Linked DNA regions of Diceros bicornis minor. The protein of the gene in region 3 interacts with the protein of the main gene of each other region in a pairwise test. Links are inferred from orthologs where the notes say so. Each region holds a gene or a part of one and is shown on either strand. Other genes may lie near its edges.

Evidence for each region.
Region 1: the proteins of EMILIN1 (region 3) and ZC2HC1C interact in binary tests that used the Homo sapiens proteins (3 or more experiments, as listed by UniProt). The two-hybrid records come from large-scale screens. The link is inferred for Diceros bicornis minor from reciprocal best matches to the Homo sapiens genes EMILIN1 and ZC2HC1C.
Region 2: the proteins of EMILIN1 (region 3) and IFT20 interact in binary tests that used the Homo sapiens proteins (3 or more experiments, as listed by UniProt). The two-hybrid records come from large-scale screens. The link is inferred for Diceros bicornis minor from reciprocal best matches to the Homo sapiens genes EMILIN1 and IFT20.
Region 4: the proteins of EMILIN1 (region 3) and protein BEX3 interact in binary tests that used the Homo sapiens proteins (3 or more experiments, as listed by UniProt). The two-hybrid records come from large-scale screens. The link is inferred for Diceros bicornis minor from reciprocal best matches to the Homo sapiens genes EMILIN1 and BEX3.

The regions. Positions count from the first base shown.
Region 1 is NC_080763.1:23,022,884-23,030,823, reverse strand, and holds the start of ZC2HC1C (zinc finger C2HC domain-containing protein 1C), read right to left. Parts: upstream 3,447-7,940; 5' UTR 3,358-3,446; exon of another isoform or gene 3,189-3,357; intron 2,954-3,188; exon of another isoform or gene 2,507-2,953; 5' UTR 2,488-2,506; coding exon 1,159-2,487; intron 1-1,158. Other genes in the region: ACYP1 (acylphosphatase-1), read left to right, coding at 3,721-3,886.
Region 2 is NC_080757.1:19,127,493-19,135,960, forward strand, and holds the start of IFT20 (intraflagellar transport protein 20 homolog), read left to right. Parts: upstream 1-5,022; 5' UTR 5,023-5,084; intron 5,085-5,126; exon of another isoform or gene 5,127-5,249; intron 5,250-8,468. Other genes in the region: TNFAIP1 (BTB/POZ domain-containing adapter for CUL3-mediated RhoA degradation protein 2), read right to left, coding at 41-130, 550-719, 1,341-1,545. UniProt on the Homo sapiens protein: Part of intraflagellar transport (IFT) particles involved in ciliary process assembly. May play a role in the trafficking of ciliary membrane proteins from the Golgi complex to the cilium.
Region 3 is NC_080751.1:55,737,845-55,745,420, reverse strand, and holds the start of EMILIN1 (EMILIN-1), read left to right. Parts: upstream 1-4,095; 5' UTR 4,096-4,560; coding exon 4,561-4,730; intron 4,731-5,689; coding exon 5,690-5,815; intron 5,816-6,282; coding exon 6,283-6,503; intron 6,504-7,576. UniProt on the Homo sapiens protein: Involved in elastic and collagen fibers formation. It is required for EFEMP2 deposition into the extracellular matrix, and collagen network assembly and cross-linking via protein-lysine 6-oxidase/LOX activity.
Region 4 is NC_080781.1:96,216,913-96,223,431, reverse strand, and holds protein BEX3, read right to left. Parts: upstream 1,987-6,519; 5' UTR 1,891-1,986; intron 1,517-1,890; 5' UTR 1,505-1,516; coding exon 1,196-1,504; 3' UTR 947-1,195; downstream 1-946. UniProt on the Homo sapiens protein: May be a signaling adapter molecule involved in NGFR/p75NTR-mediated apoptosis induced by NGF. Plays a role in zinc-triggered neuronal death.

The DNA.
Region 1 (7,940 bases), on a different chromosome or scaffold from region 3:
CTTAATATTTTTCTTTAAATTCATGATTCCTGGAAATCAAGGGCTTAATATGTTGTTATATTTTTCTAATACACACTAAAATGAAAAATGTTTGTCAGCATGCCACACTTTGAGAAACACTCATTTTACAAACCAAGCGGCATAACCTTGACAGGGTCATGGACTTATTTCCGAGACAATCTTCTCCAGATCTGACTGTCCAAATGTGCCTGTGAAGTTCCCCTAAACTTATCATGTAAGTGTCTTGAAGTCCTTACTTTATACAACCTAGTTTTTCTGTAGCTAGGAATGTTTTGAACCATCACTGAAAATAAATTCCTTTACCTTTAAGGTGTTTACACTCTAAATGGGGAGATAAAGAATTCCAAACTTAGTTGTGTTTCATGTATTTACTAAGAAGATATATCAAAATTGAGCTAATCCTGAAAAAATAGATATGGTTATAGGAGTGGTAACAGATCCTAGAGCAAGGAATTCTCTCAGGGTGGTAAAATGCTGCATAGTTGTTTTCTTTATAATTTTCCTGTCTTTTGAATTTTTTACAGTAGTGTTTATTACTTTTATAATCAAAAGGACATATATTTTTTAAGTCTAGATTTTGGAGTCATTCTGACCCAGATTTATATGCCGACTCTGTCATTTAAAGCTGTTTGTGATCTCAACCAACTTAACCTCTCTGAGACTTAATTTTTTTTTTTTTTTTTGTGAGGAGATCAGCACTGTGCTAACATCTGCCAATCCTCCTCTTTTTTGCTGAGGAAGGCTGGCCCTGGGCTAACATCCATGCCCATCTTCCTCCACTTTATATGGGACACCGCTATGGCATGGCTTGCCAAGCGGTGTGTTGGTGCACGCCCGGGATCCGAACCGGCGAACCCCAGGCCACCGCAGCAGAGCACGCACACTTAACCGCTTGTGCCACCAGGCTGGGCCCTCTGAGACTTAATTTTTGAATTGATAAGAGATAATGAAATCCTCACAGGGTTGTGGTGAGGACCATATGAAAAACTCCCATCACAGTGACCGGCACACAGTAGTACTCAATAATTGTTAATTCTCACTTTCTCCCTATTTGACACATGAAATTCTACTAAAGAAAACTGATGAGGATATAACAGGCCCTTACACTCAAAGTCAAATCCATGAAGCCCTTGTTACCTTGACTGAGGCTGGTCCCTTCCAGTTCAAGTACTGCTCTAGTTCTGTGCCCTTAGCCCGGGCCCTGGATGAGTCAAACACTTTCCTCTTGGAACTCTGCATCCTGCGGCAAACATTGGAGTGTCTCTCCAGCCTGACCAAGAGAAACTTGCGTCCACAGTGGCTGCACTCGCCGAGTTCTGGCTCTTCAGTGGGACAGCTGGGACCTGAGGAGTCTGGTGCCCCGGGCAAGCTAGAATTGCTGGTGGATCCCTGCAAAGCACTGCCTGGCACTTCTGAAGGCTGAGAAAACTTCGCCTTCAATGGCCCTGAGACTCGGTCTCGGATTTTGTTATTGCTTGCCCCCAGTCTTTCTCTTTTGAGCTTCTGTAGTCCATAATCAGAGAACTGGAATGGACTAGAATTTTCTTGAGACCATACCCAAGTTTCATCCTCTCCCCTGTCTCTACTGAAGACCCCCTCAGACCCGAATTCTGGGGAGAAGAGAGGTTTGTATGTGGTGTTGCTATTACCTTTGACTCTTCTCCTGGGGAGTGTCTTTCTCTGTAGCTCTCCTTTTTCATTTTCCTCTGTCTGTTCCTTTTCCTTTTGAATCCTTCTGAGTTCCTCCTCTGTCTTCTTCAGCTTTTGCCTCAGGAGGGTCTCTTTTCTTCGGATTTCCTCCTCTAAGCTCTCTCCTGCAGCCTCTAGTCTTTGGATCTGCAGCCACAAAGTCCTGTTGAGGTTTGCCATGGCCCTCTCCCCCTGCATGGCAGCAACAGTGCCAGCCACAGATGCGTTCACCCAGTTTCTTGAATCAAAGCTGCTGTATGAAAACTCTCTTGGCTCAGGGGGTCGTGGAGAGACATTCTGGTCCCCATCAGTGCCAGCCTCACCTGTACTACGAGACTTCCGATGGAACACGGGCTTCAGTGGGTATGCCCGGTCTACCCCAACTCGCTTCTTTGTAAAGGGGATGAAGTCCTGGTTATTTGCTTTGGGATACCGGGACTGATGGCTTGATGAGTAAAACAAACACTTTGTTTGGCCCTGGGTATTGCTTCCTGAATCTTGCTGGCTGATTCCAGCACAGTGGGGATAGGTGTGGCTCTGGGCTTCTGTGCAGGTGTTCCATTTGGGGTGAGTATAGAGATTATCCACTGTCAGCTCTTTGTTGCTCAAAAGCTTCTGCTGGAAATTGTTCCTCAGGTGCCCCATCGAGGACCGCTGGCAAGAGTCACCTTTTTCACAGGGGTCTTGCTTGGCTGAGTGCAGCCCTGGAGCTTCTATTTTATTATATGGGAGCATAACGCCCACAGGCAGAGGTGGCACCAACTGGAGACCAGCCATTCAGGGCCTGGACTGAAGCCTAGAAGAAATTGAAACCAGATATATGAGGAGTTTGAGATTCACCCCAGCTACTAAAGTAAACTGTTTCTACACTTGTCCTACCCACATTTCCCCTTAGACTTTTTAGGGACAGTGGTGCTGGGTCTGCCAGAGCTTTCGTTCAATAAGCATTTGGCAAGAGATTATGTCCTGTGAGTGCTTATTAGGTCCTGAGGATAGAAAAACGAATATGATACAGGTGTTCCTGCTGCCTAGCTTTCCTTTATAGCAGTACTAGCCCCTGCCATACACAGTGATGCTCCTGCCGGACACATCATACTCCGTAGTAGGTGGAAAGAGCTATTGGATTGAAAGTCAGGCTTTTGGCCGGTGACAAAGGACAAGCAACTTCCCTTGCTGGTTCCAGTTTTTTCACCCGTAAACTGAGGGGTTCGCTCAGTTAGAGTACATGACTGGAATTTAGAACTGCGAGTCCAGCCCAATCCTTGTATAGGTGAGAAAACTGCAGCCCGGAGGTAAATGACTGGCAACAAAGAGCTCTCAAGGCTTCCCTCCCGCTGAAACCGTGCTTGACTCCAAAGAGCACAGAGGGCGCTCAGGGCCTGGTGCAGCAGGTGCCTGGCTGACAAATCCTCACCCAAGGAGCCCCCGCGGCGCAGACAGCGAGAGGTCTGTAACCTGAAAGGCGGGGACCACCTGACCTGGCCGCTGCAGGTTTTAGATTCGGAATGCGGAAGTCACGTTCTGTCCTGGAGGGTCAGCTGGGGCGCCCCCACTGGGGAGCCCGCTTTGGGGACAAAGCGCTCTTCTGACCTCTGGCTCTTGGGAGGGCGAGGTGCTGACCTCACGTCTCCGCGCCCTTGCGCGTACCTGAGGCTCTCGGGGACCGTCCCTGCTCAGGGAAAACTCCAGAACCTAGTTTTCCCGACCGGACACCCACCAACCGCCGGCCGCGCAGGCGCTCTCAGCTGGCCTCTGTTATTCCCGTTGCCTGGAGACTGGAGCGTGTGCGCGCCCAACCCCGCCTCTGGCAGCGAGCACCGCCCGCCCGGGGCAGCGCGCGCAGGCGCAGTCCGCACGCGGCGGGGCGGGTGGGGGGTGCGGTCAGCCTGAGTATCACTTGACTGGGTGTCCTGCCAACTCTGGAGCTCCATCGCCCTGCCCTTGGGAATGGGGGAGGGGGCGGGAGAAGCTTTTCTGGGGCTCCATGAAAGAACTTGTATTTTTCTGTGAATGGTGCTCCCAGACCCTGGGGCGCGCCCCTCCCTGGCAAACGCCCGAGCCCCTAGCTGTGCCCGCCAGTCATTCCGCGGCAGGATTCCGATGTCCGCCCACTTAGCGGGAGTGGGCCTGCTGATAGCCTTTCTTAGCATGCTCCGCTGCTCTGTCCGGGCCCCAGGTATGGCTATGTATCTCTCTCCGTGCTTTTCCTCGCCGATAATTTGGACCTTGCAGTCAAATTTTATTAACTCGCCTAGGTTTTGCTATGCAGTATCTGTCCGGGGTAGTTTTTGTAGCCAGTCTAATTATTTTGATATGATGTTTGATTCTCACGTGGTAACTCTGGCCGTCTTTTCTTAGGGCCCAAGAATGACTCAGCCAAATGAAATGATAATAAAGTTAACTACCAGATTGAAAATAATCAGTATAACCTAGTTTCAACACTAAATGATACTGTATAAATTGTTAACATCAGAAAAGAGTTTATTTGTCTTCATGCTTCAGTTCCTTTGTGTAAGCTATTTAGAACAGGCAGCTTACTTTTTTCCTGTAACTGTTACCACCTAAAAAGGGGGTTCATCTGCTGGCTGTGAGGCATGCCAATAGTCAAGAAGCAAGGAGAAAAAGGACTTTTTATTACAGCTTGCTAGCAAAAGGGAAGATTGCTGACTCATGTCCAAAAGAACCATCTTAAGGGGCACAAAATCTTAAAGCAGTTACATAGGCCAGTGGGTTATAGGGGAGGGGTTTAGGAATGTTGACCTTCTGGTGTTACAGACTGGGAGTCGCCACACCAGATCTTTCAGTTGTTATTGATGATGGCTATCAGCATAGACTCTCTGTTGGGGGGTCATCACATTCCTAAGGAACTCAAGAGAACAAAGTTATCAACTTACAGCAACTGGGAGTGGCCATAAAATCCACAGAGCATGTCTGGGCTAATTAATCAGAGATCATTCAAAGTTACAATAGGGTTTCTTTTCTACAGTATGGCTTCCCTTATGTTAACCTTGTGTTGAGCCAATATCATAACTACTCAAAAGATTCATGCACATGGAAAATAATATAGACAGCAGTAGTCAGTGTTAATACTTTAACTTGTCATATTACATCTTTTAGATGTTACAAAGAAATTCCTTGGTGGGGCCCTCCAGGGCAGTCCTTATATTCTTTGTTTTCTTTCCTAGTTGACTCTCTACTGCCTTCTCTATATATGCAGTCCCAGACGTTTCCCACTCTTCTCAAAGTCCTAGTTATCTCAGCATGGGGCCTGCTTGTCATCAGCTCCCACAGCTCCCCTCCAGTCTGGCAGAATTTGCCAGAGTGCCTCCCTCCATCTTGACTTCCTTCCCTCTTGTCTCTGAGGAAGAAGAGTATTTCTCTTTCCATGAGTTCTCTTGAATTAGTCCGTTTCATTACCCTCCATGAATTGACTCCATCACTTTACCCCTCCATCTTATTAGCTTCAAGTTGTGTCTATCCACATATTCCTTCTCTTTGTTTTAAAATATGCTTAACTTTCCTCTGCAAAACAAACCTCATTTTTCTTGACCTGCCACCTCTCATGGTAGGGTCCCATTTATTTCTCCTCTTCGCCACAAGACTTCTTAATAGAAAACTTTACATTTGCTGCCCCCACTTCCTCATCTCCTGCTCATTATCCAGTCCATTGTGGTCTGGTTTCCACTCTTTCCACTGTATTTAACTGCAAGGCTACCAATGACCTTCCAATGACCAAAGACAAAAGCTGCTATTTCTTCAGGCTACTTATTTGACATTATTGATTTTTCACTCCTTTGGAACTCTCTTCTCACTTTCTCCTGTGCCTTTTTTTCTTTTCTTTTTTTTTTTTGGTGAAGAAGATTAGCCCTGAGCTAACATCTGTTGCCAATCCTCCTCTTTTTTCTGAGGAAGATTGGCCCTGGGCTAACTTCCGTGCCCATCTTCCTCTACTTTATATGTGATGCCTGCCACAGCATGGCTTGATAAGCAGTGCATAAGTCCACTGCTGGGATCCAGGCCTGCGAACCCCAGGCCACTGAAGCAGAGCTCGAGAACTTAACCATTACACCACAGGGCCGGCCCCACTCTCCTGTGCTTCCTTGGTTTCTTCCTACATGTCCTTGCTCCATCTTCTTCCAGGTCTCTGGCATTTATGTCTTTTCCTCACCTGCCCCCCAAATTTAGGTGTTCTCCAAAGCCCTCTTATTTCTCATATACATGCAGTTTCAGACATTCTCTTTCTTGGTGATTCAAGCAAATGCTGAAATTTCAAGTCTCACCTGTGTATAAGTGATATCCAGCTTAGCTCTCTCTACTTAGTTACAGACTCAAATTTCCAGCTGCTCATTTAGCACCTCCACATGAATGTTCCTCAGGAACCTCAAACTCAGCGTGACAGAAAACAAACTCATGATCATCTCTCCAGTCCCCCAATCCACTTCTTCTCCAGTGTTCCTTCTCACGCTGAAAGCATCAGTCATCTCCGAGTACCTCTTTGTCACTCCTTCCCTCTAATCGGTCAGCAGGCTCTGATGGATTTACTTTGCAGTGTCTCTCATATATGACCCTTCCTTTACATTTCTTCTACCGTAGGTGAGTTTTTCCTCTCTTCTCATTGGATGGCATCACAATCCTAACTGCTATTCTTGCCTTCAACATCTGCTCCCTGAGCTCATCCTTCATGCTGCTGCCAGAATAATTATCCTAAATACTTCCAAACCTGTCGTACCTATAGCATAAAGCTGAAACACGTAATTTAACGTGGTATTTCAACCTGCCAGATTAGTTCCAGCCTACCTTTCCAGCCCTGCCTCCCCAGAGTCTAGTCCAGTTGCTCTCCACCCTGGCTGTGCTTTAGGACTATCTGGAAAGCAATTTCTAGGGGTGAGACCTGGGTATCAGTATTTTTAAAAGCTTCCCCCAAGGTCCTAATGTGCAGCCAGGGTTGAGAACCCCTGGTCTAGCCATACCTGACTATTTGCAGTTTGTTACCTCAGTGGCACTACCTCAGGCCAAGCTCCACGTACTAGGAGGTGGTAGAACATAGCCTTTATGGGAGTGGGCTCTGTATTCAGACTGCTTGGAACCAAATCCCAGCTCCGTCACTTACCCGTCATGGTTGGGTAACCTTGGATAATATGCTGTTTCCTCCAAGAAGCTTTTCCAATCTTCCCAGAGTGAATCTCTTTGCTCTTTTGTGCTCCCGTAATATTTTCTGTTCTTGTTATAGCACGGGGCTGGCTCATGATCAGCTCTCAATGGGTGTTCATGGCATTGAATTAGCGTATTGTGCATTGTTTTGTCATTATTTGCGTGCATATTTGTCCCTTACACTAAATGAAAAACTCTTTGAGGACAAAGGTTATATATCTTTCATCTTTGTACATCCTATGGGTGTCCCATACATAATAGACACTCAATAGGTTTTTTTTTCTTGAGGAAGATCAGCCCTGAGCTAACATCCATGCCAATCCTCCTCTTTTTGCTGAGGAAGTCTGGCCCTGGCTAACATCTGTGCCCATCTTCCTCCACTTTATGTGGGACGCCGCCACAGCATGGCCTGACAAGCGGTGCATTGGTCTGCGCCTGGGATCTGAACCCGGGCAAATGAATTTTAGAGAAAGAAATAACATCAGCCAGGTACTCTATTTCTGATCCGAGACCCTGGACAGATCCCCAGCCCGAGGCTCGCTCACGCTCGTGACAACCGCGTCCCGAAACCCCACCCTCTGGGCGGGCTCTGCGCCGGAGTGCTCCGTCTGTGATTGGTCGGCGGAGGTGATGGGCATGAGAGACAGCGAAAGAGGAGCTGCACTCTAAGCTTCCGGGCGCGACGGTTACGCGGCTGAGGGGGCCGTTCGCGTGGTGGTCGCTGATGTAGTCTCGGCCGCCTGGGAGGAGAACGACGAGGGTGATCCTGGGACGTGGCTACGGGGCGCACTTATCATTCGGTTAGTCCTAAAATGTTAGTAGAAGGGGATTCTGGCTGCCGCAGCGAAGCCAGGTCCCTGGGAAGAGGTAGGGATGGAGAGGGAGCAGAATCGGAGATGGGTGTAGGGAGGTCACTGGATAAGCAGGTAATTGCCCCAAAAGAGGCCTCGGTGGGCAGTTGCGACCGAAGTTCCTTTGCCCGGGTGCCCTCTGTTCACACACCGCGCTTGCACGTATCCGCTTACGTACTCTGAAGTCGGGGCACCTTAAGGTCAGGAAGAGGTCGCAGGTGTTAAGGA
Region 2 (8,468 bases), on a different chromosome or scaffold from region 3:
CAGAACATCCCCTGCCCAGAGCCCTCAGAGGCCCCAGTACCTTGGTGGAGGATTCGATGAGCCTCTCCTCCTCCTTCAGGGATGTGATGACGGGGATGTTGCACACAGGCTGGTAGGAGTCCTTCTTGTCCTGGGTGACACACACAGCCGAGAATCTTTTTGAGATCTTCTGCTTGCCAGGCTTAGCCAGGCTTTCCCCAGGAGCCGTCTGAGCCCCTCTATCACGGCCACCCCCTGCTGGCTGAGGAGGCATCAGACAGAGATCGGGAGGCCCCTGGCAATAGAAACTGCCAGCTGGCAAGCAGACCCCCATTCCCAGAAAACCTAAGATCCAGATATCTAGGCATATAAACTAGAAGCAGGGCCTAGTCAGACTGCCTGAGTTCATCACCTTACAAACTGACTGGCTGCCAGCTCACCTGGTCTGGGCACCACCTGGTGTATCTAACTAGGTTTGGACTCATCAACCACAGCTGCCACACAGCCTTCCAGGAACTGGATCTTTGTCTCTCTTAACCTCATCAACCTGCCCCAACTCTGCCTCCGTACCTGCAGGGCAGTTTGGCACATGTTCACCAGCCCCTGAATGAGGTAATATTTTGCTTCAGCCATCAATTCCTTGATTTCTTGCCGGTTTTGAGGGAGGATGATGGTGTCATCTCGGAGGTAATTCAAAATGGTGCCAAAGTGCTTTCCACATCGGTCTATGAGGATCCAGCCTAGGGATTCAGACAGGCCCCAGAGGGTTACTGTTTGCCTCCAGGTACCTCAGAAGCAAGCAAAGGCCACCTGACGAGCCTGGTGGCAGGTGGCAAGGAGCACATGAGCACAGAGCCCATGGCACAGGGTAACAGAAATGGGAACAGAACCTCTAGCTCCTAGGTCCATGGCTGCTCTTCACTCCTCCTCCCTGAAACCAAGAACTGGCACATGCCTTGGAAGACAATGGGCCCTCCAGGCTCTGTGGAGGCCCACAGGGATCTAAGCTCAGGAGTGCTCAGGCCCACCTCACAGCAACACAGAACCCATCACGCCCTGCTTGCCTTCTGCCCACTGCCCAGTTGCTACAGGGATGGTTCTTACGAGAATCTAGTCCTATGTGAATATAAAACAAGTATGGATCTTCTCTGGAAAATGCATAAACACACAACATTCTATGTACAATTTCAAAGAATTCCGAAGCTCTACTAAGCACTCCAGGTGAAGGAGTCGTATACCAGGTGAACTGGAAAAATGAATCTAGATTCTAGAACTGTCGGCATTAAGCCCTGCCCTGAAGTCACTTCCTCAGGAACTCCTCCCTCCCTCCCCACCCCACTCATTAAGCCCCAATGCCTCACCTTCTTTGTCAGTCAGCACCTCCATGCGCCCGCTGAACATGGCCTTGAGCATGGTGTCGTGCCGGGTGAGCGCCCGCACGGTGGTGTAGTACAGGGAACCGCCCACATTGAGCTGGACGTATTTGTTGCCCAGGCCTCCTCCCTTGAAGCCGCTTAGCTTGGGCTTGGCCCCTGAGGCTGGGCATAGACAGGTATCCCCTGACATCTCCCGCTGCAGGTAGATCACCACACGGCAGGAGGTCGGCTTGGAAGGCTCCACCGTGGTGGAAGGGTCACAAGTGAGTGGCCAGTGGGGGCCAGAGCCTCATGCTCTCAGTGCTATGAGCAGGAGATGGGAGAGAAGACAGAAGTCAGGAGAGGAGAGCCCTCAGTCAGGAGGGGACAGGAGGAGAAACACTGACTATCCAGTCATTCTCTCCTTAATAAGCCCTAGATTCCCTGGCAGAGGCTAAGGCCCTAGGCCTTAAGAAAGACATTCCTGGGGCTGGCCCCGTGGCTTGGCGGTTAAGTGCGCGCGCTCCGCTCCTGGCGGCCCAGGTTTGGATCCTGGGCGCGCACAGACGCACTGCTTCTCCGGCCATGCTGAGGCCGTGTCCCACATACAGCAACTAGAAGGATGTGCAACTATGACATACAACTGTCTACTGGGGCTTTGGGGGAAAAAAAAAGGAGGAGGATTGGCAACAGATGTTAGCTCAGAGCTGGTCTTCCTCAGCAAAAAGAGGAGGATTGGCACGGATGTTAGCTCAGGGCTGATCTTCCTCACAAAAAAAAAAAAGAAAGAAAGAAAGAAAGACACTCCTGCTGTTATTTATGGAACCAGGAATCAGGTTTGGGAGCACAGTCTCACAGAGCCGGGAACTGGTCACCTCACCAGCCTCCCTGAGACCCAGCTCAGCTCTGGACGGCAAGGAGGACAAGCAAACCCTTGGAGCTGGTCAGAGATGGCTTGAGGAACAGACTGGGCAGAACAGAAGTCCCCACCCTGGGGATCCACCAGTCAGATTCCAGTTATTTTCTTCTCAAGGTTCCCAGGATCCAAGACTTCCAGCCAAACATACTGGGAATCCAGCCAGCCTGGGAGTTTCCCAGGAGCCCGAGTGACAGGATGCGCTTCCTTTCTAAAGATTCCAGGCTCAGGAGCAGCCTGCACCAGTTCTTACTTGGAGCACCACCCGGAGTCTGGCTTCAGGAAGGCAAGTAAAAGCAGCTTCAGGAGAGCATGGAAGGAGCCAGGTTGGAGGGAGTCGGCCAGTGTTCCTGGCAGGGGCTACTCTGGCTCCAGCCGGGGTTTCCTGACCTTCCTCTTTCTTGGCATCAGCCCTGTCCTAAGTTCCTGAAATTGTCACCATTTTCCAGGACAGAGCAACTACAGGATGGCTATTTTTGCTTCTTTTTCCTGAGAGGCGGCCCAGCCCTATCTCTTCCTCTCTTCCCTCCCAACAAGAATGGGGAGAAAGGGCTAGAAAAAAACAGATGATAAATCTAAAAACAGTTAAGTGATCTGGAAAGTGAAACACTGATAGGAGTTCAGAGGAGGGAGGGCAAGGAAAGCAGAGGAGAGCAAAGCCAGGTCACCCCTCATGATTTAGATGCTATATGTTTTGGTTTTCTAAAGAATCACTGAAATTCAGTCACTGAAAAAAAAATAATAGCAAACATTCTTCGCATGTTTACTATGTTCCAGGCACTATTCTAGGCATTTAATATATATTAGCTCATTTAATTCATTCAGCAATAAAACAATATTGAGTGCCTACTATGTTAAGCAGTAGCAATAGACAGATGAAAAGATACCGTCTTCGCCTTCAAGGAGTTCAAAGAAGCATCATAATGTAAACAAGAATAAAAATACTAAGAGTTAGCATTGATTGTGCCACTGCTCCATGCAAGGCACTGGGGATACAGAAAAGAACAAACAAGTTATGGCCTCATGGAGCTTACATTCTAGTGGGAGGATACAGACAACAAGAAAATGAATAAATAAGCAGGCAATTCCAGAAGGTGAGGAATGTAATAAAGATAATAAAACAGAGATAAGAGAGTGACTGGTGAGAAGCACTAATTCAGACAGGGGGTCAGGGAAAGCCTCTTTAGGAAGCTGACATTCCAGCTGAGGTCTGAAAGAGCATTCCAGATAGATGGAAGAGTAAGGGCAAAGTTCCTCAGTTAGACACAAGGTTTAGCAACAGAAACAAGGCCAAGATGGCTGGTGCATAGAAAGAAGGGGGATGTTGGCTTGATTTCAAGTCAAGGAAGGCAGGGGCCAGATCATATTAGAGAGTGGATTTTATACTAATTGCAATGGGAATCGATTGGAGGGTTTTAAGCAGGGGAGTGATATGACCTGAGTTATTTACATTTTGAAAAAAATCACTCTGGCTGCTGCGTAGAGAATGAATTGTAAGGGTGCAAGAGAGCAAGTGGGCTTGTCCAGGAGACTCTCATTTGCCTTCAAGACGGAGTATGGATGAGCTGAGCCCTCACCAGCAGACTGCCCAATCAGTAAGTAATGGTGAGTGGTATGAGATCACCTTACCTTCCTCCGCCCACCCCAAGGGAATAAATCCATTCTTCAACAGGTTTTAGCAAGTTACCTACGTATTCTGTGTCTAGCCCCAATTTCCCCAGGATCAAAGAAAGTACACATACATATTCTACCAAAGCAAAGGAGCTCAAAGGCTAGGCGGTTGCCAACGGAGGTAGACAAATCCAGAGCTAATCTATTCCTTTCTTACAAAGCAATTGCTTTGAGCCCATGGATGACGTCAGCTCAGATTCCGCCCAGGCCAATGGGCTCCAGGAATCCTGTGGCAGGTGACGCCCCAGAAAGTAATTCCAGTGAGAATGAAGTTTCCATTGATAGCCTCAGCGCTCTTCCTTCCGGACTTTGTGTGTGGATATTTGGGGATGCCAGGGGCTAGGGGCGTATCCGCGTCTCACTCAGCGAAGCTAAAGGGAACCCAAGCAGAATAAAGGGCAGACAACCACAGCTGTGGAAGAAGGTGGGGTCCTAAAGAAAGAAGGACCCAGAAATCCGTCACACACGGAGGATGGCGGAGGCGGGGGAGTGGGGCCGATCTGGTCTAGAGAGGGCGGATCTAGCAGAAATGCTAGGTGTAAATTTTCGGCTTCATCCCAAGGGTCTGGGGAGATTTAGCGAGACCCAACCCACGGGAAATTTGCCCAGTGTCGAGTCTTCCCCAGCCCGTACCCCACCTCACTACCGAGAAACCGGGATCGGTTCTGACACCCACTCCCAGGGGAGGATTTGAGCTCTCCATCTCCCCTACGCCGTCCCACGCCTTTTCCCCAGCACCGGGTGGGGGTCTCTTTGCTCCAGTCCGCGGCCAGTCCATCCCTTCCCCTAGGGCATCGGCAGACCCGACTCTCACCGTCCCCGGGGGTGCCTCTCCTCTCAGCTGGATTGCAAGCCGACACCGTGCCGCCCCCAGACTGTGGCCGCCTGCCCGCCAGCAATCCCAGCGTGTGAGCTCACATCCTCCGCCCGCGAACTCCACCCCGAGCCGCTGCCCAGCCCCGCCGATCTGGGAGCATGGCACGCTGAGGCCGGGGATGCCTAACACCCAATCAGGGAGGAGGGAGGAGCCCCTGAGAGTATTCCGCTGAGAGCGCACAGCTACTTCCGGCGGCCTTTCCGGCGCAAAGGCCTCTGGATCTTGTAGGCAGCCGTCCTTCCTCTTAGACCTCCGTTTTCCCGCAGGCTCTGCGGGTTGGGCTGCGGTAAGTGCTTCCGGTGTTAGGTAGTGACGTCATGGGTAAACAGGTCCTGTAGCCGTGGCAGCGGCTGAGGCGGGCGGGTAAGGTACCGGCTGCCGCTGACCGGAGAGAGAAGCTGCCCGCCGACGTCAGCCTGGGGCGCGGCGCGCCGCGGTACCCGGTGGGCAGGTAGGCCGTGACTCCGGGTCCGGGGACGCGGGCGGACCCGGGGCGAGGTGAACCTGACGGGCCCGCGCCCTGAGGAAAGGCAGTCCCAGGCCGAAGGAAACGTGGGAATTCCGCTCGCTCTCTGGGAGCGGTTTCTCGCCTAGCTTGGGCCTGGAGCTTGACGCGTTGAGGCTCGGAACGATCTTATGAGGACACTGCGGCCCAGATAAGTTCAAGGAGTTTACGTAGTAAAGCCGGTTCCATCACCCAGGCTTTCCTAACTTTCCCCTAGTGCCCTCTCCCCACACCGCATGGATGGAGCAGGCTCGTATGGCCTAGCGTGGATCGGGGAGAGCCCGGGGGCGGAGAGGGCGACACCGCCCTCGTCTTCGGGGAGCCCAGTCCTGCCTTGTGCCCAGTGTTCCTCAGATGCTCAGACACGCGCGTGTGGTGGGAGTTGGGAGTGAATCCGATAGTCGGCTGCGAGCCCTCTCCCTGCGCTCCTTCTCCGGTCTTACCCATCTCATTCAACTCTCCTCTCCAGCCGTACAGTTGGCTCAAGCCAGATGCGTGGGAATCTTGCCTGACTCTCCTTTACTCATCTCCAAACCGCTACGTTCAATCAATCCTTTACTAAGTCCTATCAACTCGACTTACAAAACATCTCACCTCAGAACACTTTTCTTCAGCTCCAATCTTTGGTTACTGTAATGGGCTCCTTTGTTTTCACAGTCAGCCATTCCACAAACATTTACTGAGTGCCACATCTAGCAGGCACCATGCTAGATGCCAGGGTTACAGTGATGAGGAAGGTAGGTGTAGCCCTACCTTGTTCCCTCCAATCCATTCTCCATTCTGGGTCAGAGTGAGCTCTCTAAAAGGCAGATCTTGTTATAAGATCTGTTGAGAATCCACTGGCTGCCCATTACCCTTATGAGAAAGTCCAAGCTCATTACTGCAGCTTTCAGAGCCTTCCGTGATCCAGCTATAGCCTCCCCATCTAGCCTCATCCTATTCCACACTCCCCTTTGCTCACTGGGTTTCAGTCACACTAGCCTTTCAGTTCGTGGAATGCATTAAATTTCTTATAGCTTCAGGATCTTCACACTTGCTTTTCCTTCTGCCAGGAATGCCTCCTCCCCCCTTCCGTTGACAAACTTTTGGCCATCCTTTAGGTCTCAGCTGAAGTGTCACTTTTTCAGAAGGGTTTTGTTGACACCCCCCCCATATGAATTCTGTCCTCATGCTACAGCTTCACATAGTGTTACCCCCCAAGTGGAGGTCTTCTGCTCGCCGCAAGACATGCCAATAGTCAAGAGGCAAGGAGGTAGGAGAGAAAGGACTATTTATTACAGCTTGCTAGCAAGGGGAAGATGGCTGACTAATGCCCAAAAGAACCATCTTCAGGGGGCACAAAATCTTACAGCAGTTATATAGGCCCGTGGGGTATAGGGGAGGGGGTTAGGAATGTCGACCTTCTGGTGTTACAGACTGGGAGTCGCCACACCAGATCTTTCAGTTTCATTGATGATGGCTCTCAGCATAGACTCTCTGTTTGGGCGTCATCACATTCCTAAGGAACTCAAAAGCACAAAGTTATCCTCTTATTGCAGCGGGGAGGTACATACACAAGCAGGGGTTGTAAAATCTACAGAGCCGTTAGATCTCCTGGAGGGTGCATATCCAGCTGGGTTAGTTAGTCAGAGGTCATTCAAAGTTACAGTAGGGTTTCTTTTCTACAGTATGGCTTCCCTTATGTCAACCTTGTGTTGAGCTGGTATCAAAAGCACCATGTGCTTTTCCTCATACTATTATCACAGTTTGTGATTATTTGTTTGCTGTCTGTCCAGAAGTCAGGAACTAAAGCAATAAGGCATTTTCTTCACTACTCTTATCACCAGAGCAGGGACTCGGTAGATATTTCTGAATAAATGCATACTCGCAGGGGAGCGAGTGGAAGTTGAAGGTTAATTGAAGCTTTCTAGAGCAGCAGGTCTGATTAATCACCTGGTAGGTGTTAAATGCTTAGATTATATGTGTAAATATAACAGATCAAGCAGGAAGACAGATCTTTTTAAAAAGCCTGATTATAAGAAAGCTCTGGATGATTAAAATGTTTCAAAAGGAAGATGCTAGCCTGCTTACTTCAGTGGATTCCAGTGAGGCCAAAGGCCCTGGGCCACAGTCATGCACAGACAGCCTATAGACATGCATTAGTTGGCCCACACAGTGTTGGATGTGTTTTTTTCCTTCCTTTAAAAATCAGATTTCATATATCAATCTGGATTTCTGATCCTCTTGAAAATCAGTTCTGGCAACAGTGGGACTTAATTCTTTTTTAACCATTGGTCCTATGGTACACCTGCTCTGGGCAGTCACTTCCAGAATCACCCCTATCAGAACTGAACTCTTCTAAGGAAGCTGGAAGGGAAACAGGTGAGGCTGGGAGAGGTGGGAGAAAGGGAAGGGCTAGCTCAAGGCCAGGTGGTGGGAGCCTTTGGAATTTTTTTTTTTTTTTAAGCCAGAATGAGGGTGAGTTGTCAGTGTTTCCTTCCCAGAGTTGAGGCATCCTTTGGAGCAGGAATGCAAGGTGGCCTGGGAAGGGAGAGGATATCTCTGCTGGTTCTCCTGCCTACAGAAGAAGCCCCTAAACTCCTTAGCTTGGCACACAGGGTCTTTCTGCTCTGGCCCCAACCAACCTTTCCAGCTCCATCCTTTGTCCTGTCGTCTTCTAGGCAGGATAGGCCCTTTCAGTGACTTCAGGCTCTTGTTCATGCTGTTTTCTCGGCTTGGAATGCCTTTCTCGGGCCTCCTTGCTTGATATGTTCTTGCTGATACTTCATTCTTTTTTGTTTTCTGCTAGAAAGAGACTGACCCAACTCTGGGTCCCAGTTCAGGCACGTGTACAGTGTCCTGTCGCATACATTTTGGTAATACTGTTACTCCTGGCTTATTTTTTTAACTTTAATTTTTAATTCACTGAGATTTTCCCTTTTACTTGCTTTTTGTGTTGTTCCAGTATTGTATTTGAAAAGCTTTTTCATGTCCTTTTGGGTACATAACTGAGGATAAATAAATATGCTTATGGCTCACAACTTAGTTCATATGTCACTGCCTCATCCCAAGTTAACTGCTCTGTTCTCCTCCAGCGCTTGAGTGATATTTCTGCAAAAGCACTTAACAGTGTGATTTTTCAGTTTACGTGTCTGTCTTCCTCCAGCTAAACTCTGTGCTCCTCCA
Region 3 (7,576 bases):
AGGTATGAAGTACCCTAGACTGTTATAGCTGAAGGGGGCCTTCAAGATCATTTTATAAAGAAAGAAACTGAGGCCCAGCAGTAATTGATTTGACCAACGTTCTACAACTGGTTAGAGACAGTGTCACTTTGTCCTCTTTCCTCTGTTCCGTACTCCCCAACAGACTGTGGACTCAACAGGTTGTCCTAAGGTCAGGGACAAGAGGAACAGGGTTTGTTTTGGAACCATCCTGAAACGTCCTTCACCTCCCAGAACTTCCTGTGCCTAGGTCCCAGAACTTCCTGTGCCTAGGTCAGCGAGTCTTTATCAGCCTTGAATGGGTCATTTGGCCTAGTGCCTGGAGGAACTGAGATTAAAAATGGTCTCCAGGACTAAACTAGACTCAGTTAAGAATTAACAAAGCTTGAACAAAGCTTGGGTGGAGAAGTATGTGGGAAGTGAGACAGGCAAGCCTCATCCTGGGGGGAATTGGGGGAGAGAGAGGATGAGGGGGGGACAGGGACACGTGACACGTGTGGAGCCTAATCTCTGTGATTAGTGTGACATTGTCAAGGAGAAGACATGAGGTCAGGATTAGGTTCAGGAGTGAAAAAGCAACCTGACCTGGGAAAAGGGGACTGGGCCCTGAGTCCAAGGAGGTTGGTTCCTAAAGTACTGTCCCTGTGGGAGGGGTTGGAAGGAAAAGGAAAATGTGTGCATTTGAGCAGGAGTGGACTTTTGCTCAAGAGTCGCTGCAAGCTTGAATTACCATCTGGGTTTGCATGACTGAAGGCCCAATTCATATAATTTCCCTTTTCTTCCTACCAATATTCCATCCTCTGACAGAGGGCGTTAGACATAAAATGTGCCTTACTGCTGGTGCCCCCGGGCACCTGAGCTCATTGCTCAGTCGGTGATGGTTGAGTGAATGAGTTAGTTGCCTAGTACAGCCAAGATTTCCCACTGGCACTAGACCCTTGGAAATCCCCTGTTTTGGAGAGGCTATAAAATAGATCTTGTACTAGTGCTCCAGGGACTTAGCCTTTTTGGGTCTCAGGAATTCTCTTGCCAATTGCTTTGGAAATTTGTGGCTACCTGCCAATACCACCACTGCATTCTCTCTAAGCCTAGTCTCCATTGCAGCCTGCTTGCCCAGCACCTCAGGCTTCCCCAGTGAACCCAGATCTCATTTGAAATCTCACAAATATTCATGTCAGCCTCTAGGTCTTGGCTCCTAATTACAGGACTAAATGAAATGCAGCCTACTCCAATTGTATTTCAAAGCCAACATTTTTGACTTGACACACTTAAAATACAACAGATTTTTAAACCTAAGAGGGCAGGCGAAGGAATGGGTAACAACTAGGCAGTAACAAAATGGCTGGGATGACTTTTCAGGTTGCCGGAGGCCCCCTAAAGGGAAAGAAGAGGGGAAAGAGCAGAGAAAGAAAACCCACAGCAGCAGCCAGGGCAACCTGGAGAGGAAGTGGCTTCCTGCCAGGGCCAGAGCCTAGAACTGATGTGGAGACCAGGGACAACGCTGCAACCTTCTACTGACAGCTCCTTTGAAATTAGGATCTCCTAGGACCATATCCTTCAAGTCTCCCTGTGTGCTGATCCCCACACCTTTAAGGGGCAGCCACAAATTTCCATTTCTGTTGGTTCCAGCATCCTGTCTTTTCACCAACGTTTCTCCCCACCATCAGGATCACATTCTGGGCCATAGGACCTCAGAGGAGTCACATTGAAGATTTGGTCGCGTCCATTCTCAGCTTCCAATTACTGTCCTGCAAATGGTTCCCAGAATCAAGATCCACATTCCTACCATCTCTTGGACATTTATTTCCATTGAGATGTGTTACTGTCATCTTAAACTCAGTATGTCCAAACTAAGGTCATCGTTCTTTCCTCCAAACCTGCTCCTCTTCTTGACTTATCCTTCCTGGCTCAAACCCTGGAATCTTCTCTGGTGTCTCCCTTCATCTGCTCCCTCTACTCAGGAAATCACCAAGCAGTCACAGCCTTCTCTTCCAAGTCTGCATCACTTTGCAATGTAGAATTTGGAAGGGACCTTAGACACCAGGCAGACAACAGACTCCCAGTGGAGTCATGGGATTTGCTCAGAGTGATAACACTACTGAGAGGAGGAGCTGGAACCAGCTCCATTGTGCCCTGACCCCCTGCCCATTGCTGTTGCTGACAATGTCTTCTTTCTGCATGTGATTGACCCCCTACCCAAACACTCGTAATCGAAGCTCTTAACCAGTTATCTGAGACTCCTTAATTTTTCCACAATTGACTTCTCTGACTTTCTGTCCTTCTTCTTCCTGATGCAAATAAGAGCTAACATTTATTGAGTGTTTACCATGTGCCAGGCACTATTTTAAATGCTTTACATGTATTAACTTAATCCCCACTAACCTAGGAAGGAGGGTACTATTATTATTCCCATGTCACAGATGAGGAAACTGAGGCAGGCCACCTTCCCCAACCTGAAATCTCTCCCTGCCCCTTGTCTCTGTTCTTCACTCTTTTCCCCCCAACACTGTTCAGATTCTCTCTCTTCCAGCAGCTCTTCTCTGACTCCCCTCAGCAGCCAGCTGTCTCTCCCCTCCTCTTACCCAGAACATGCCGCATCCATTTGTCTGTCCCTCTTGGCACTCTGTCTCGGAACTTGTATCCCATCCCCAGCAGCCCCAGCTGCTCCTCACTAAGTCTTATATATGCTTTGCTACCTGGGCGCCTGCACAGTGCCCTGCACGCAGCAGTCTCGCGTCCTTTCTTTTTTTTTTTTTTCGTGAGGGAGATCAGCCTTGAGCTGATCCGTGCTAATCCTCCTCCTTTTGCTGAGGAAGACCGGCTCTGAGCTAACATCTATTGCCAGTCCTCCGCCTTTTTTTCTTCCCCAAAGCCCCAGTAGATAGTTGTATGTCATAGTTGCACATCTTTCTAGTTGCTATTTGTGGGACGCGGCCTCAGCATGGCTGGAGAAGCGGTGCATCTGTGTGTGCCCAGATCCGAACCCGGGCTGCCAGTAGCGGAGCGCGCGCACTTAACCGCTAAGCCACCGGGCCTGCCCCTTTCGCCTCCTTTCTGTCTAGTACTTCCGCTTCGCTCTCCCGAGTGTCCCCACACACAGGGAGACCTAGTCCAGAAGACAGTGCTGAGGGCCAGGTGATGAAGGGGGCCCAGCTGACGGATTCAGACATCTCCAGTCAGGCCGATGGCTGAATGTGACTGAGTTCCTTGCCTGCTACGGAGGCTATCAGACTTGCCTGCAGGCTAGGGAGTGACTTCCTTTGGCCCTGTATAGATGGGGCCCAGTTTACCTTCCTCCCTCCCCTCCCCCACTGATGGCTTGACCTACACCAAGGCAAGCCTGGGACCCATATTTATTTGGCCTTTTAAGAGACTCTCTTCTTGCCCATGTCATCTCCATGCTTGACAGAAAACTGCTCTCCCATTTCCAGATTCCTTTCTTCCTCTTCTGGCTTCTCTGAATTTCCTGCCTGCCTCAGTGGAGTCCTTTTCCTTCTCCTCCCTGGCCCAGTAGCCCTCTCTCCTCTTCTTCTTTCTGCCAAGTCATTGATCTAGGTATTTAGATTCTAATCTCAGCCCTGTTCTTGACTTGCTGTGTTACTTTGGACAAGTTACTTTCCCACTCTGGGCCTCAATTTTCACATCTATAAAAGGAGGTGGCTGGACTAGATGGTGAGTGATGTCCCGCTGAGCCTACAAGCTCCTTCTCCCTTTTATAGTCCTCCCCTCCTCTCCCCTCTAGGCTCCTCTCTCAGGTCTTCTCTCCCAGGGGAGGCCTGCCGTAGCCCCAGGAGAGCTGTGGCTCCAGCTCCTGTTCCCTGTCTAAGTGACCAGCCCTGGGCCTTTCCCCCAGTGCTGGCCCCGGCTCCACTCCATGTGGCCCGTCTGAGAGGCTGGCCCCAAGCCCGGCGGCAACTCCACATTTCTCTGTTTTTCCTTTTTTTTTCTCTCTTTCCCGGAGTTAACAAGAAGCAGATGTGGCGCACGATGGTTGGAGAGATGGGGGGAGGAAGGGGGAGGCTGGACCGCCAGCCAGACAGGGGGGAAGGGAGAGGAGTGAGCAAGAGAGGGAGGCGAGAGGCCAGGGCCCGCCCCACAGCCACTCTTGTGCCTCTCAACAGCCACAGGGGCAAAGCCCTGTCACCCCCAGGATCTGATCATTGGGGAAAACAGATAGGGAGAACAGAGGAGGGCCAGCTGGGCAAAGGGGCGGAGGCCCAGGAAGCAGCATCTGAGAGGGGCAGGGACCAGGCACAGGAGGCCGGGGGCACAGAGAACAAACTCCCCTCAGAAGTGGAGAAGAGGAGAGCGGAAGGAACCGAGGGAGGGACAGACGGGAGTGTGAGGAGGAAAGAGGAGGGGGAGAGGGGTCAGGCCAGGCGGCCAAGGAGGAGGCGTGTGGCTGGGGGCTGCCGGCAGGAAGCTGGGGACAGGACCCGACCGGCGCTGTCCCTTGGAGCAGCGGCATCCCCCGCACCAGGCAGAGACGCCAGTGGTCAGGCTGGGATGTGCCTCTGAGGGCCACCGCGGAGCGCCCCCACCATGGCCCCCAGCACTTTCTGGATCTGCTACCTCTGCTGCCTGCTGACCACAGCCGTGGGGGCAGCTAGCTACCCTCCTCGTGGTTACAGCCTCTACACGGGGAGCGGCGGGGCCCTCAGCCCTGGAGGACCCCAGCCCCAGAGTGCTCCCCGGCCTGCCAGCCGCCACAGGTAAGAATCTGGGTCCCAGAGGTGGGTGGGAGGGTGAGTCAGAAGGTGGGTATCCGGCCCCTGCCTTGGCTACCCTCTCCAGGGCTGTCTCCCCTAATACAGGGAAGAAGGGGAGAGGAAGCCCACCCATCAGGTGGCTCCTCACACGGCCACCTTCCTGCAGGGCGTTTCCAGGGCCCCCTGAATAGATAGGTCCCTCTGTCTAACCTCAGGGTGATCAGCTCCCATGTCCTCCCTGTGGGACCTGCAGTTAGGTGCCTGGGAAGACTATCCTGAGAGGCGTGGGCCAGGCCTTCCTGCCAGCTGCCAGCTGCGTACCAGCCTGGGATCCTTGGGCAGACCTTTTATCCCTTTCTAGGGCTTCCTCAGCCCCATCCAGTAATCCATGATTCTGACACCACTCTTGCCCTGCTCCTTTCGGCTCACCAGCTGGACCCAGATCAGAGGCCCGCTTGAATGGGGCCAAGAGTGTAGAACTGCAAGCCCTAAGGGTGGCAGGACTCATCAATGGCTTATTCTCCATTTAACCCTGAGCTGGATCCCTGCCTGCCCCATCCTCTCCCCTGAGGGGTGGGTGGAAGCCAGCATCCAGGGTATCACCTGAGGGACCCAGCTAGCCAGCTCACACAGGCCACACCAAAGTGTGGATTGAGACAGAAAGGGACGTGGATGAATGTGTGAATTCAGAGGCTCCCAGGACCCCCCCCAGCCATGAGGATCAACTTCTTGTAGTTGTGGTTTTCCATTCTGCGCCTCCTCTCCCCATCTTGAAAAGTCTTTATCGACTGCTGCCTCACAGGAAGGCGTGGGGGGAGCTGCCACTGCCAGAGCCCTGGCTCCCACTGGTCCCCGGGGGCCCTTCATCTTTTGACTGTCCCTCAGCTCCTCTGGTAGCCCCTGGGCCCTCCTCTGGGGCGTGTGTCTCTGGCCCTTGGGCCCAGGTGGGGTTGTGCCTGCAGGAACTGGTGTGCCTACGTGGTGACCCGGACAGTGAGCTGTGTCCTTGAGGATGGAGTGGAGACCTTCATCAAGCCTGACTACCAGCCGTGTGGCTGGGGCCAGCCCCAGTGTGCCCGCACCATCATGTGAGCCTCTGTGCTGGGGGATGAGTGGGTATTTGGTGGGGGTTGGGCTAGGGCAGAAGGCAGCCAGCCAACTCAGGGAATTCCTACAAAGCAGGGAGCAGGGGGCAGGACCAGGGGCTTCAGTCAGAGCCATTTTGAGGACACGCTGAGGCAACAGTTTGGCTGGTGGGATACTCAGGGCACACCTTTACCTAGGCCACCCTGCCAGCCCCCAAATGCCTTCTCTGGGCTGGGTCATGCTCAAGGAGGGGAGTTCAAGGTTCCAACACAGGACAAGGGGAGGAAGAACAGGGATTTGGCCCTTGGCCAACAAGCTGACAGCTGTCAACTGAGCAAGGCCACATGCTGGACAGTAAGGGGGACTCAGCCTGAGAGACAGGCTTTGCCCACCAGCAGCTGCCCATCTCTGAGGACAGGGGCCAGTACGTACAGGGAGGAGTAAAGAGGCCTCCCTCTGCCTCTCCCAGGTACCGCAGCTTCCTCCGTCCTCGCTACCGCGTGGCCTACAAGACAGTGACAGACATGGAGTGGAGATGCTGTCAGGGGTACAGGGGTGATGACTGTGCTGAGGGTCCTGCCCCAGCTCTGGGTCCTGCACCTACCACACCACGCCCCCAGCCCCGGCCCGCCCGCCCCAACCTCTCTGGCTCCAGTGCGGGCAGCCACCTGAGTGGACTAGGCGGGGAAGGTGAGTATGGGAGCTGCTGGGGAGAGAAGTGGGAGACTGTGATGGGCGAGAAATGTGGGGCCAGGCTGCCGAGGGAAAACCCCCAAGCTCCCAGTCAGAAGAAAGGGACAGAAGGGAGTTAATGGGATCCCTGAGATCCCCTGTCCTCACGCAGAGAGATTGAAACCGAGAGAAAAAAGGCAGAGGAGAATGTGCTCACACACGCCCACATGTGGCCAAGATACTTCCTAGTTGGGAACAGCTGCGGGAGGAAGGGGGAATTCCTTGTAGAAGCATGGTCCAAGGGGATAGACAATTGAGACTACAAGTCCTAGCATGCACTGCAACCAACTACAGGTCCCAGGCCCCTCGGTGGCCTCTGGAGACTGCAGGTCCCAGAATGCAGCCGTCCCTGTTGCCTTCCCGGGCCTGCTGGGCACTGCGGTGTGCTGTGTTTGCCTGCCAGGGAGATAGCCATACTGTCATTATGGAAACAGGAACTTCTGGCTGACTCGCCCACCATCCAGCTAGCACCCCTGCAGGCTTGTTGCAGAACCTCGTTTGTCCCTGTGGTGGTGTGGAGAAGTGCCACCCAGGAATAGCCACTGTTGGGGAGTCCACACTTCCTCCCTCACATTCCCATTTCACTCTCCCCCAGGGAGTGACATAGTGTTATCCCCATTTCACAGATGAGGAAACAGTTTCCATAAAGTTAAGAGGCAGCTCTGAACAGTGGAAGGACTTGGGCTTGGTGGTCAGATGGATGACCTGGGGTTGAAACTTGGCTCTGCCGCTTATTAAACTTGTAATCCATGGCCCACTTACCTAATCTCTCTGCTCCTCTATTTCCCAGTCTACAAAAAAGGAAGAGCTAATGGTCTCTGCCCACTGGAGTTGTTGTAAGGGGGAAAGAGCCACAGTACAAATTTGGCCTAGAGGCATTCAGTGAATGGAGTTTCCTTCTGTCCTTTCTTACCCAAATCACCCAGCTAAGAAGTGGCTGAATCAGCTAGGACCTCTGACTTCTTGGAGTTGGGGAGAGCAGGACCTAGGAAGTAGGCACTGAGCTTGGGCGTCGGCCCCTCTGCCTTATG
Region 4 (6,519 bases), on a different chromosome or scaffold from region 3:
GCAGTGAAATTATAGGCACACCATGGTCAGACATTTTGATGTGTCCCCTGAGCTAGGCCCCAGTGCATTTATCAGTTCTTTGAAGAGGAGGGCCGTAAAATAAAACCAAAAAGGTCTATTTTGTTAGGAACCAGTTAAGACCAAGACCCATGGGAATGGTACTCACTTGGATAAATATAACTCTAAAGTGGGGATAAAGGCATTCTTCACACTTCTATGGAGGTCAAACAGGGGCTTTAGCTCACCAGGGACTCCAGAGAAATCAGCGGACTTTTATTACCTTGAAGACTCCAGCACACCCTCGATAGAACAGGAACAGGACCTAGCAGAAGGGAAAGTATGCCCAACTGACATGGCAGTAATCAGGTAATCAGGGAGGCAGGAGTATTGCAAGTATCAAAGGAATGACAAGGTGGAACCTAGCTATTTTTGCCCTCTGGACTTGTGAGCATTGGTGAAAACTCCCTTTAGTCCCTCCCCAGTACCTGATGGAGGCCACCGTCCTGTTAAATACTGAGGAGTTGCATAGGAGACAGCTCAACACAGTCCCACACCTCATCTGTTCTACTCAGCAGCTCTATAAGGCAAGCATTATCCCCCATTTCACAGGAGCTAAGACTGACTCTTTAAAGAAATGTATCTGTAATAAAGGGAGGGTTTATTTTTCCAGTTAAGACTGAAAGATACTTAAAGTTCACTCTTCTTTAAGTTTGTTGAATCAGTAATTATTATGTACGTGTACTATGTTCACAGACTCACTGAAAAATTGTTTTCATTGTTTCTAAAACTCCAGATAATAAAAGGAAAAAAAGTCCCATGTTATCCAACCAGAGTAATGTACCCCAATTAACACCTTGGGATATTTGATTTCAGATTTTTGGTGGGTTCACATAATACATATATATGTATATATAAATATAAATGAGACAATAATAAATGTATAGACTGCTTTTTAATTGCTTTATTAACTTTACATTTTTCCATGCAAATGGGTGAAACTTGACTGTAGACAGAAACTTAGACTGGGTGCCAAGGCAATCTCCAATTAGAAACTAGTAACACAGAACCCATCTGACACATGGAAATCACATAAGGTTCACAGCAAACGGATCAGTAAAGGCATAACAGGAAAATGCAAGGAAAAAGAAAACAACAGTGGGAATCACAGTATTAATCTCATGGAAAATGGCAGGAGTCAAGGCATAAGGCAAAATTCATCATGATGGTCATGGTGATTAGAGAGCTCCCCCATGAGGATACGCAGACAATTCCTCAACTGCAGCTCCCTAAGTTTTCTCCTGATTTCTCTCATCTCCTCCATGAACATTTCCATATCATCTCCATCTCCACCCATCCCATCATTGACCTGCCTATTGGGTATGGCCCATCGGAGATTAGGGGCAAGTCGGCGAGCCTGTCCCCTTCTATTATTTCCTGCTGGCTGGTGACCTTCGCCCCCTCCCAGAGGGCGGTCTTCCTCTCCATTCTGCATGGGCTGCTCCATTTCTTCGTTTTCCTGGTGGATATTTGCCATAATGAGATTTTTTTTTTCTGGTTTTTCTTTGAACACAAGTAAGACAAAGGCAAGGAGAGAGACTGAATACTTGGTGCAACGACCAGCAGGATTCAGAGCCTTGATATCAAAGGTTTTTGTTAAATTTCATTTTTCCCCCACCTTTGGAGCTTCGTGCGCCCTCTAGGGGGCCTCCAATTCCAGCCCCACCCTCCGGCTCTCTCCTTTTCCCTCCCTCCCCCAAAGCCCACCATTTTTCCTTTTCCAGGATTCTTTCCCAGAGCTCAGCAAAGACCAAAATGGAGGACAGGGGACGGGGGATGGGGAAGTTGGGAAGCGGTCTCAGACTGGGCCCTGCACCTGTCCCCCGCACCGACCTGGGCCTATCCTTGCTGTCGCCTCCTCCTCCTGATTCTCGCTCCAAGTGCGCTGCCTCGACACTTGACACTTACACCTGCAGAGGGCCGAGGTGGAGAGAGCGGGGACTGTTGCCAAGCGCTCGGCGCCGACCCGCCGCTGCCCGGCCCCTTCCCAGCGCCGGGCCCCCCGGCCGCCTCCGCCCCGCGTCTGCCGCCCCTCGCCCCGCCTGCCTCAGGGTTCACCATTTTCCTGCAGGAACTCGGGGGTGATTTCCCATTGCTCTTAGTTGCTCTACTGCCCTCCCTGGATCCCTGCCGCTCCTGCACCCCCCCACCCCAGGGGGACTATTTATGTTCCCAAGAACGCCGGGATGTGGAGAAAGCTGGCCGGGACCCGCTGCGCTGATTCCCCGCGCCGGTCTCCGGGGTAGGCAGTCCGCTGCCGCCCGGGCCTCGGCGCGCGGCCCCGGGGCCCTTACCTGCTCCGCTTTCCCCGGGCCCGATGCCAGCCCGCCGTGCGCAGGGCAGCGGGGAGCTGGTACCCAGACGGGAGTGACGACTGCACCGAAGGCTGCGTCGCTCTGCAGCTCCCGGTCACGTGAGGGACCCGCGTCACGGCCGAGCTCGCCCCCAACTCCAGCGGCCAGTGCAGCAGGAACGCCCCCCGCCTCCTGCACGCGCACACGCACACGCACAGACAACCCTCTCTGCCTGTTAGTGCGCGGGGGCCCCAGCGCGCACCAGCCTGTCACTCATCTCGGTCCTCTCCAATCTGAAGGCCCGCAAGTGGCATCACCTCCCTGCGGTTGGAGTTTGCACTTCTCTGGTTACCTGGGAGGGTCTGCAACACCCTCCACCCCTCTCACTCCCGCCCCAAGCCTTGGTTTTGGCCTTTTCTGCTTTCTCTCCTCTCCTCGCTGTCCACATGCTCCACCACACACACACGCCCTGCACTTGCATAGCCAGCGTTGCCCACCATATCCCCTGAATTCATACACTTCTAGGAAATTTAGAATGAGAGCTGGGTGGGGAGGGAGCAGGGGACTTGTCAGAAGTGAGGCAAGGAGATAAAGTGGGCTGTAGATAGCCTTCCTAGTAATTTTTCTTTATTTCACTTTTTAAGAAATCAGCATGCCTCAAAAAATTAAAAATCATGAGATTTCATTTTTGAAAGAAATGCTTCATCATGCTGAATACAAAAGCTTTATTGTTTGATTATGTTCACCTGTACCACACAGAAAATATTTTCTCTGGGCTTCACACATCAGCATCACTTTTGAAACATACTAGCTTGTTTCAAAATTTTATTTTCAAAAAAGGAAGGCATCTTCCTGAACACAGTTGGTGTTTTCAACACGATCTGTACAGTAAATCTTCAGGAAGAAGTTCAGTTGTCAGATCTTGGCCATTTTATGTAAATTTGTGTAATGTTTTTGATACCACAGTCTTTGAAGAAAAAGAGCCTTTTTATTCCCTGCTTTCCTTTCCAAACCTTCCAAAGCACCCCAACAAATATCACCTTAGAATGGTCTCAGAAGTTAAGTATATAATATGCAGAAGTTAGTTCCAAAGCTATCTGCCTTTTAATGTGAATGTTTCAAAAAAATATTAGAAATAAGCAGGGGGTGTGTGAAGCAACTAAACTTGAAACTGAAACTTATCTTGAGTGTAAATGTTCATTTCTCCAACTTGAAATAACTAAAAAAAAATTATCACAGCTAGAAAATAGAGATGTCTTTAGGAAAGTGGCGTTGTTATAAAAACAATTTTTAGTAGGTTTTGATTGTGATAAAGGAACCAAAAGAGTTATATGCACTGAGGCAAGACAGGCCAGACAAATGCTTACTGCCTCTAGTTTTGGCTCCAAATTCCTATGTAATCTCCTGCCCTGCCAAACTAGCTGGGACATCGAATAAAGGAAGAGTATATGCCTAGTGCATATATAGTTTGAGGTTTTATATAAAATTATATATATATATATATATATGCTTTCAGAGATATATAGATATATTAATATGTAGCTCCAAAGGCTCAAATTACAAAATCACACCCAATAATTGTCTTTGAAAGGAATATTAGTGATTCCTGGGTTCTGTCTCACAGTTAACAATTCTTCATACAGATAGCTCTATTAATGATATTGGCTGAAAAGATGCTGATTAGAAGCATGAGCTGTGGCATCAGATGTGTCTGGGTTTAAATCTTGTCTCTGCTACTTACTTGATGTATGACTTTGGGTCAATTACTTATCAATGTCTTTGTGATTCCTCTGTGAAACAGGGATTCTTAGAAGAAATAAATCACGCATATCAATTACTTACCACAGAGCCTAATAAATCTTCAATAAAAGTTGACTTGTTATTTTTTTACTATTATAGATGGTTTCTAACAAGATTTGAAGAGTAGGCAGGGCAGAATTCTTTCCTTAGCTAGATCCACTTGTTTTTAAAATCCATGAGGGCCCAGCACACATCTGCTTTGTTCCACCTTGTATACCTGGTGATTTATAGAGTTCCTTGTGCAAAGTAGGTGATTAGTTCATATTTGTTGACTGAATGCATCTGTTACTGAGGCTCACTGGTTGCTTTTCATTCAGGGGACTGTATTTAGAGCAATACAGAAAAGCTTTTATGAAAATTAGGAATTACCTAGAAAGAATCCTCTGAAAGTAGAGAAACCACTGTGACATAACCATTGAATATGAAGTTTAGTAAGTCAATGTTTATTTCTCTCAGTGGCTAAACGCTTTGCTGTTGTCTTTTTGACCCATCTTGGATAAGTCTTTTGTTTGAAACCACCAAATTTTCTTGGATGGAAACATACATTTGTATATTTTTCCAGAGCTGATGTTATGCTATATAGGAGGTTGGTTGTAATGAAATGATGTTTTAAAGATAGGTAAAAATTGGCCTGGAAATAATGTTGTCTTTGTAAAATGTTGTGAGGTGTTGATTGAGATCTTTTCTTGTCCTTGGAGTTTTCTGAGGAGTTGGAGATAGATAACAACCTGTTGAGAACAAAATTTAAAAATTTTCCAAGGCTGAGTTAGGACACAAGAGTCTTAGTTTGGGACTCATGTGCCCCAAAGGACAAAGAGAGTGTGAACTGGTTTGATGGCTCTTACCCTGAAATAATAGAAGGGTAGCATAGTACTGGGAAGGAGGAGACTGGGTTCACATTTGGGGAAATGCAGTGTTTGTGAAAAGAACCTATCACCTCTCCTTATATCCTGCAATTATGGTAGATGGCGGCGCTTGATTGGTTCCCTTCCCCAAAGCCAAGGGAGTGGGATCCAAAAAGAATTGTACATAAAGTTTAGGGATATCTACAAGATGTTAAGGTTCACTTCTCATTCCTCTCCTGAATATCTGCTTTACCTCTAAGATTCTGAGCTACCTAGATGCTATAGGAACCTGGAAAGAACATTTTGGAGAAATGATGTGGTGATGTGGCCCGGTGGAGAAAGGGCTAGGATTGACACCCTACAAAAGTACCCAATTCTGGAGAGGCTGAAAAATAAATCCTACCATGCCTACAGGCTCTGGAACTGGAGCTAGGGAGAGGGGAATTATTGAGATACAAGCTTACCAGAAGCTGTGACAACATAGGGTAAAGAGACCTATGAATCATAGGAATGCCAAGTGACGGTCTCAGCTAGGAGTCACATGCAAGATATGGCTCAATCTTCCAAGTTGCCACCAAAACCTAAGGGAACTGCTTGAGTATGAGTCCTTAGCAGCAGGTTCTACAGACATCAAACTTGAGCCTCAGTGATGATTAATCACATGAGGATAGCAATCTTACTCTAGGTAGTGAGGTAAATAGTTGGCTTTTTATCCCCTTCCTCCAAACTCTCAAATCATCTGAGTAAACCCAGGGAAGGAGAGTATGATGGTTAATTTTATGTGTCGACTAGACCATGGGATGCCCAGATATCTGGATAAACATTATTTCTGGGTGTGTCTGTGAGAGTGTTTCTGGAAGAGTTTGGTATTTGAATTGGTGAACTGAGTAAAGTAGATGGCCCTGTCCAGTGTGGGTGGGCATCATCCAACCCATTGAGGGCCTGAATAGAGCAGAAAGATAGAGAAAGATTGAATTTGCTCTCTGCCTGACTTCTTGAGCTGGGACATTGATCTTCTCTTGCCCTTTGTGTTCCTGGTCCTCAGGACTTCTAATTCAGACTGGCATCTACACATCAACTCTCTAGCTTTAAGGCCTTCGAACTACACTACTGGCTTTCCTGGCTCTCCAGTTTGCAGACAGCACACCATGGGACTTTCCAGCCTTCATAATTGTGTGAGCCAAGACCTCATAATCAATCAGTCTCTCCATCTATCTATCTATGTATAGACATAGATATAGATATATATATATAGAGAGATATGTATCTATATATCTATAGATATAGATATGTAGATATTTATCTATCTATAGATATAGAGAGATAGAGATAGATCTCCCAGAGGGATGAGGTAGGCTCTGAAACAAAAGTGAGATTGGCATTTTAAAATACATAGAACTAAATCTTATCAGTCCAACTGAGACTCTTTTAATAAGAAAAGTGACTGAAAAGTTGAGGAAATGGCTGAAATGTAGTTAAAGAAGCAAATTACCCAGTAGAAAGTAGGGGAGATGATAGAAAGA